2 linked regions of the Drosophila melanogaster genome follow. The protein of the gene in region 2 purifies or fractionates together with the protein of the main gene of each other region. This does not show direct contact. Each region holds a gene or a part of one and is shown on either strand. Other genes may lie near its edges.

The links. Proteins that work in one complex are often made in the same cells at the same time.
Region 1: the proteins of Top1 (region 2) and ppan purify together in Drosophila melanogaster (affinity purification with mass spectrometry, with the first as the bait; one large-scale study listed by BioGRID). This does not show direct contact.

What each region holds. Positions count from the first base shown.
Region 1 is NT_033777.3:21,114,103-21,117,857, reverse strand, and holds the start of ppan (peter pan), read right to left. Parts: upstream 1,605-3,755; 5' UTR 1,555-1,604; coding exon 1,225-1,554; intron 1,163-1,224; coding exon 798-1,162; intron 742-797; coding exon 314-741; intron 263-313; coding exon 3-262; 3' UTR 1-2. Other genes in the region: Rab11, read right to left, coding at 2,474-2,607, 2,757-3,105. UniProt on the Drosophila melanogaster protein: Required for initiation of larval growth and normal mitotic growth but is not absolutely required for general biosynthesis or DNA replication. Required for progression of normal oogenesis and maturation of some imaginal tissues into adult structures.
Region 2 is NC_004354.4:15,317,664-15,321,418, reverse strand, and holds the start of Top1 (topoisomerase 1), read right to left. Parts: upstream 1,928-3,755; 5' UTR 1,639-1,927; coding exon 1,612-1,638; intron 1,466-1,611; exon of another isoform or gene 1,382-1,465; intron 1,051-1,381; exon of another isoform or gene 402-1,050; coding exon of another isoform or gene 387-401; intron 266-386; coding exon 48-265; intron 1-47. Other genes in the region: gce (germ cell-expressed bHLH-PAS), read right to left, coding at 3,654-3,755. UniProt on the Drosophila melanogaster protein: Releases the supercoiling and torsional tension of DNA introduced during the DNA replication and transcription by transiently cleaving and rejoining one strand of the DNA duplex.

The DNA of each region.
Region 1 (3,755 bases), on a different chromosome or scaffold from region 2:
TACTACTTTGATTTTCTACTCTTTCTGTGGTCAAACTTGGCGCGCTTGTTTTTGGGATCGAACTTGGCTCTCCTGTTCTTGGGGTCGAATTTGTCCTTCTTGTCCTTGCGATCGAACTTGTCCTTACGATCGTACTTGTCCGTGCGCTCAGATTTGTCATTCTTGTCCTTGGTATCCAGTTTAGCGCGCTTGTTCTTGTATTTCATTCCGCCGCCCAAACTAGGCCGCTTTCGGGAGGACTTCGCTTCCATTTTGAACAGTTCTGCAAAGGAAACATTAGTTTATATTCTACGCAGCATGTAGCACAACTCACCTTCGTCTGGTTCCTCGCCGACTTCCTCCTTGTAGTACTCTGCATCATCCTCGGGATCGCTGTCAGTCCGTCCCTCTGCCGCCCTCTTGGCAGCCCATTTTTCATCCTTCTTAAGCTTCAAGTTGCGGGCACGGTTCTCTGCCTGCTCCTTCTTGCGCTGCTCCTTCTGCTTTCGCTTCTTTTCGACCAGCTTGCGCAGGGTTTCCTTTTCGTCCTCTGTCTTGACCACATGGTCGTGATACAGTACTTCGCCCGTCAGAAGGCCCTCTTCTATTTTGATGAGCTGCATGGTTAGTCGAGGTCCGATCTCGTGTAGCTTTATGGAGCTCTTTTTGTCCTCCAAGTTGCCCTTGCTTTTAAGAGTCTGTGCCAGCACCACATGTGATTGCTCATCATCTTCGGCCTCTGATTCGGAGGCATAGCCGTCCCTGAAAATCAATATTATGATTATTTGATGGAATGAGAACAAACGGTCATTTCCTACTTGGTCACAAAGTCCACGACTTCGTTGCACTTGCCCAGATTGGGTACCGTTCCTTTGACGATTTTCTGGACCGCCCGCTTTAAGCCAACCGGCACCACCTGCACGGAGTAGTGCCGCATCTCGACCAGCTTCGTGTCCGGATTGTAGGAGAACAGGACGCAGCGACGAATGGTGCCGATATTAACCGTGGCCAAGTTAATTGAGGGGAACATGTTTTGGAACGTGGTGGCCATCAGCTTAAGGTGCTTGCCATCGCCACTGAAGTTGTTCATGATGACGAGCGGAGCGTGCTTGAAGTGATCGTTGTCAATCATCTGCTTTTTGCTTAGCGAGATCACATCTCTGGCCAGGGTGAACTGGTGAACCTGACAGAGAATAACTTCGCGGTAAAATATCCAGTATAAACTAAGCGATGAAACAAACAAACCTTGAAAGTCAGGGAAGGACCGCGCGGCAAGCGGACCACTTTGAAGGACAGCTGCGTGGAGGCCTTGTTGAAGATGCCCATGTGCGAGACGTGGAAGAAGCTGCTCAGGCTGACAAAGTCCTTGATGCGGTTCATCCGCTTCTCGCGCAGATTGCTGGCCGTAAAGGGCTCCATAATGCGGCGGAAGTCCAGGGTGAGGTCCGTGATGTACGGACAGGCGAGGCCGCGATGGATGACGAAGGAGTGCGGCGCCTCCACGATCTCGCTCGGCTCGCTGGCCTTGAAGGCCGCCGTGCGCGTCTTCGGATGCACTTTCTTCTTACCGCCCATGTTTCAATGTTTTTGTTCACTTTTCTCCCGCACGTGTATGGATCAGTGTGGCTGCTCGCGCGGAAAATACCAAACACCCACTCCGACGTCTGCCTTTGGTCACTCTAATCCCATTTTAAATTTCGATTTTCCGCCCAATTGAAAGCACTTCTGTTTTATTTAAATTATATTTATTTAATCACACTTAACATAGCAAACACAAATGATGTTATTTCGTTTCATTTATGCATTTAAAGTTTTACAACTGTTTTTGTTTGATTTCTCTTTATCAGCTAGTTTTACCAAGTGGCCAATCGTTTAAAATGTTGCGAGAAACCGAAGAAGAAAATCCGAGCTGCAGTGCTGTGGTAATGAATTTGCGTTTAAGTCGAAGAATTTCCGGTTGTTTGTTGTTGTTCTGCTCGCGAAATTACAACTATATATTTATGTTGCGAAAAATTAATAATATTAATATTTTAATATTAGCATATATGTATATTTATATAAATTATAGTTCTACAGCTTAAACTGAATTTGGAGTGTTTAGTTTTGCTTGCTTTCTTTCCGCGGCGGTCGATTTATGCGATACTCATGGATCTGTATATATATAAAACTTCAGTTTAAACCGCAGTTAACTACAGCCGGATGTTGTTGCTTTCGATTCTTTTGCTGCTGCTGCTGCTTCTGATGATGGTGGTGGTGTTGGTGGTGGAGAGTGGCGGCTCAGATTTGAATTATCAATTTATGCGCACATGACAAACTGTGGCTGACAAACGCATAGACATCTTGTGCGGTCCATCGGGTGTACGCTGCTCCTGATCTTGGTGTTGCAGTTCTGGCCGCTGCTGCTCCTCTTGTAGTCGTAGTTGTAATTGCTGTTGCTTCTGTTTATGTTGCTGTTCTGGCGGTTGCGGGGAATAGCGAAAATTGCTTGGGGCGGTCACTGACAGCACTGTTTGCGCACATCGGCGGTGACAGTCGGCTTTACGTCGATGGGCTCCACGTTCGACGGGCGGATGACGTCGCCTTCCGGCGGATCTCTGATCTGTTTCTGCGACACAATGCGATAGATCTCTGAAACGGGATTACGAGACATCATTAGTCGTGCTTCGTTATCATTAATCTATTGACTTTCAATGAAGCGTTTAATCTACAGTATTTAAATATTCTTAAACGATCGATAATTTGAAAGCAGACTAGCTAAAATATCCTGAACGACCCACCTGTGAGTATGTTCTGGAATGCCGTTTCAACGTTCGTTGAGTCGAGGGCCGAGGTTTCTATGAAACTCAAGCCGTTGCGCTCGGCAAACAGCTTCGCCTCGTCCGTGGGCACGGAGCGCAAGTGCCGCAAGTCGGACTTGTTGCCCACCAGCATGATGACGATGTTCTGGTCGGCATGGTCGCGCAATTCCCGCAGCCACCGCTCCACGTTCTCGTAGGTCAGATGCTTGGCAATGTCATAGACGAGCAGGGCCCCCACGGCACCGCGGTAGTAGGCAGAGGTGATGGCGCGATAACGCTCCTGGCCGGCCGTATCCCAGATTTGCGCTTTAATTGTTTTGCCATCGACCTGCGTTGGATGCACAAGAAGGATGAAACAAAGGACAGCATTAGAATGGTGCCAGTAATTGGCAATTTCGCCACGAAATGCCTGCGGCGCATTCGCTTTGAAAATTAATATACAAGCACTGGCATTCAGTATTCACACATAACCAACATAAATTAGAGCTTATGGATAAGCTTTTAACTCTAGTAAGAGAACCCAATTTTTGAAATTTCTTACACTAGTTAGAAAAAACGCAAGTAGCGTAAGTTATATTCATTGAACCCATTTGATATACTAAATATTAAGATGACCTACTAAGCTACTTCGAAAAGATGGCACAAAGTATTGTTTAACACAAATCCTTATACATACGTAATATATAATTGTTATTGACCACATAAATTTATTATTTCAGCACAAGTGACAACTATGATGTCAACATTTTGGCTAATCCCGTAGGATGGCTTTTGAAATTATGCAAGAAAGCCAATTGGCAATCCATTATTTAGTGAAATTCTCGACACTTACTCAAATTGAACAAACTTTTCCCCCCAATTTTCCGATAGACGCCTCAACTACGTGTCCTCCCACCGAAACGCACACGCAAGTTCACCCGTGACTTCCCCCACTGTGGGTGCGGTGCGGTAGATGTGTGGGGGTGGAGCTCCATGGGC
Region 2 (3,755 bases):
CGAATCGCATAGAGTCGAGTCAAATCGATCTGCTCCTACATACGTACCGACTGCTGCTCTTGTGCTCCTTCGACGAGCTGGAGGAATTGGAGCTCTTGTGCTCCCTCTCCCTATCACGATGCTTGTCCTTGCTGGAGGATTTATGCTTGCTGCTGCTGCTGCTGCTGCTGCTGTGGTGATGATGGTGGTGGTGTCCGTGTCCATTGGTGGTCACCCCGTTGGATTGAACCACCTCGCAGCTGCCACCATTTTGTATGTGGATGCTCTGCGGGCGCGAGAGAGATGGCGAGATGGAAGAAAGAAGAAAGGGAGATGGTATCAGTTAGTTAGTACGTATATATGTAGATGGACCAGCTGAAAAGTGAGAGTGAATCCGGGCCAGAAACCTGTGCATCCGTCATGTTGGCCCAACTGGTCGCTTGTGGATCTACTCGATTTCCTCTCGATTTCTGGCGATGATTGGCTATTATCTCGTGTCTATCCGCTCACCACGTGGTGAAAATCAACCCTAACAAATGCCGCGTAGGAAAATTCACTTTAAACTACCAGCAATGGGTTAATCGAAGAAGAAGAGCCGCCGAGCGATGGCGACAGGAAATTGAAAATTGTTTCCGAATCACTTGGAATAGGTTAATATATATTTAAAAAACACCTTGCCAAACAATGACACCCACACACGCACAAGAGTCGTTTAGAATACAGAAAATCGTTGCTTTTTTTTTACACTTTTTGCATTTTTTTTTTTTTTTTTAACAGCTACACACACAAACACATCCCCACGGGGTTATTGTTGTTATTGTGGTTGCATATTATTCATCCGGAGCATTTTCTAGTTAATGCTTTTATTTGTTTTTGGCTGTTTTGGGGTGGCACATCTGTCTTATCAGACGACGGAACACCTTCGTATATGTATGTGCATGTAGAAGTGTAATTGCAAAATGGGACACTTGCAATTACATATGTACATGAAAGCAGCGGTCCACAACCAACAACAACAACAACAACAGCAGCAAACACATGTGATATTATGTGTGTGGAAGAGGGCAGTGTGACCAAACTTGGTGGTAATCTACGAAGAACAGGGAAATTGAGACGCTATGCGAACGTAAATAAGGCAAGTTGCAGTGGAAATGCAGGGAAATGAGTTAGTTAAAGGGTGTTTTTGAGGGGGAAAAATGTGGAAAGGCAACGTTCGAGTGGCTGGTGAAAATACCAGTTTTGATTAAAATACCAGCCAGCTGCGGCCACACTGTGCCAAATACATTTCGTCTGCCTCGGCTCTTCCCCTCCCTGCTTCACACCATCCTTCACCTTTTCCCACTTGCATTGTCGCCATTTTCGTCAATTACCAAAAGACCTCTTCTTACTTTTTTTTCTCTGCTCGTTGTATTTTACGCACTCTGCTGGCAGCGCTGTCGGCGTCGCTGCCAGCTGCCAGCAGCGAGCGGTACACTTGCAACTATCCTGTGCACCCTACAATTATGCGGTTCAGAATTTAACTTGATTTTTTGGGACTGACAGGCAGGCTGCAGGCGGCAGGCAAAGTCCCCCCATTCAACACGTTTGCACATTACATAAAAAAGGAATGGATATTTCGTTTAGGGCACTTACATTTTCGGCAGCCACATCCCCACTCATTTTGCGGAACTCGCTTAGCGGTTTTTCTTTTATTTTATTCGTTCCTTTCTTTTCTTTTCACGCTTTTACACTGTTCGACTAAACTGTTCGTTAGGATTTTCAATAATTAGATGTTGGTGCTCCTTAAAGCGGTGACAGCGGCGGGGAAATAAAAGCGCACTGAAGTTTTTCGAAAAGGAGCAGCGTTTGGTGCTTTGGTCAATGCGAATGCCCTTGCTTTTTGGCTTCTTTGCGTTTTACGGAACGCAGCAGCCACGCAGTCTCCCCGATAGGCGATTGGTTCGGACAAGTAGCGACTGCTGCTATCGGAGAGCGATAGGCTGATAGTTCGGATTCGGACAGTGTGACCGTCGGTGCCCGTGTCGATACTAGCCTGTCGATAGATGTTCACTCTTTCTCGATAGTCTGAGCACTGAATTGATACGAAATCTAGAATAACTTTAAGAAAAAGCTAACTTTTTTTCACTTTCACAAAAGGGTTTTCCCCACTATTTGCTTAAATCACTGATTGTGGTAAATGCAGCGCCAAACGTTCAAAAAAAAAAAAATAAGCATTGAATGCCACAAAATGAAATATAAAACATTTAAAGAAATTATTTAACGTTCTGGCATCGAAGTAATTTATTACTTTCGTACAGCTCTTGCAATTATTATTTTGGAAGAAAAACAAATAAAACCACCGCCATAACTGCTTTATCATTGTTTTGTATGTAGGTACACAAGTTTATTCACTAATACATTAGTTTAATATTAATTTAGATAAAAAAAAAAACAAATGCATAACAAACATTTAACAGAGTTCTCATATTTTTGTCGCCTCAGCTTTTTCTGGTTTTTGTGGGTGTGTGTGTTTGTGTGTGTGTGTGGTTTCTTAACTTCCGTTTTTACGCTTTTACATCGATTTATTATTAGTTTACATCGAACCATATATGCATCTAATTATGTATACATTTGTGTAAATTGTACTTGGCTCACTTGCTACATATATGCAGTGCACCGTGCTTGGCCAAAATCCATCAATTCGTCCGGATTTATCTTAACCATAACAACATTAAACATCTATAAAAAGTGTTCGTACGGTAAATGTAATTAAACTATGCAACGCTTCCTTTTAGTGCGCGTATGAATATATTTGTTATATTTATGTATGTATGTATATATTACCTTTTCATGCGAAACTATGCCGATTTAAGTTTAGGTTTTAGTTTTAGATTTACGGTTGTTTCCATCTCGGTATTATGTATGTGTGTATGTAGTTGGTAACAGTCTTTTATCACGTTTAGTTTGGGCATTACGCACAACGTATGGTACATAGGTTTTTAATAGTATATTTCATTTAGCATAATAATTGTTTAAATCCTCCCATTTACGCTAATCATTACTTATATCATTATCTTAATCCTTTGTGGGTGTTTGTTGCCGTTTCCGCTTTCGATGCAAATTGACGTGACTCTTTTCTATTCATATTTGTTCTACCATCTTTTTGTTTTAGAAAATTGGGATCAGCAAATAACAAGTTGTGTTCAAAAGAATCAGCTGTGATTGGATTAAGCTACTAAATATGTATGTGTCTAACATTCTAAACGAAATCGGAAACGGAAACGGTAACGGTAACTAGTTCTACATGCATGTAAAAGTCCTTCTACGTGGGACAGGAAGTTAAAAACAACAAACTGAACAAACAGTGTATATATGTACATATATATATATATATATATATATATATGTGAGTGTGTGCATGTGGGCAGGGTATCTAAAGTATGCTTGTCTCAGGCTCACTCATAAGTTGGGGTTAAAGGTTATCTATCCGTATCTGTATCTGTACCTAAACTGTACCGCAGCAGTTACCCATCAGTTGACCGAACGAGAAGTAACCCTGAATTATTGGTTCTATTGGTTGGTACGAATTAGGGACACTTTGTATGTTGGGGCTTGAGCTGACTGCCAGGACAGTAGTTACATATCACATCGATGAAACCCTTCAGTCGAGACCCGATCGGGCGCTCTCCATCACTCTAGTCCTGGTCGTCCTCCTGAAGCGGCGGCGGCGGCTGCTCCTGATTCCGATCCGAATCCGATGACTTCCGGGTGCTTGCCTTATGCTGCAGCTGCACCTC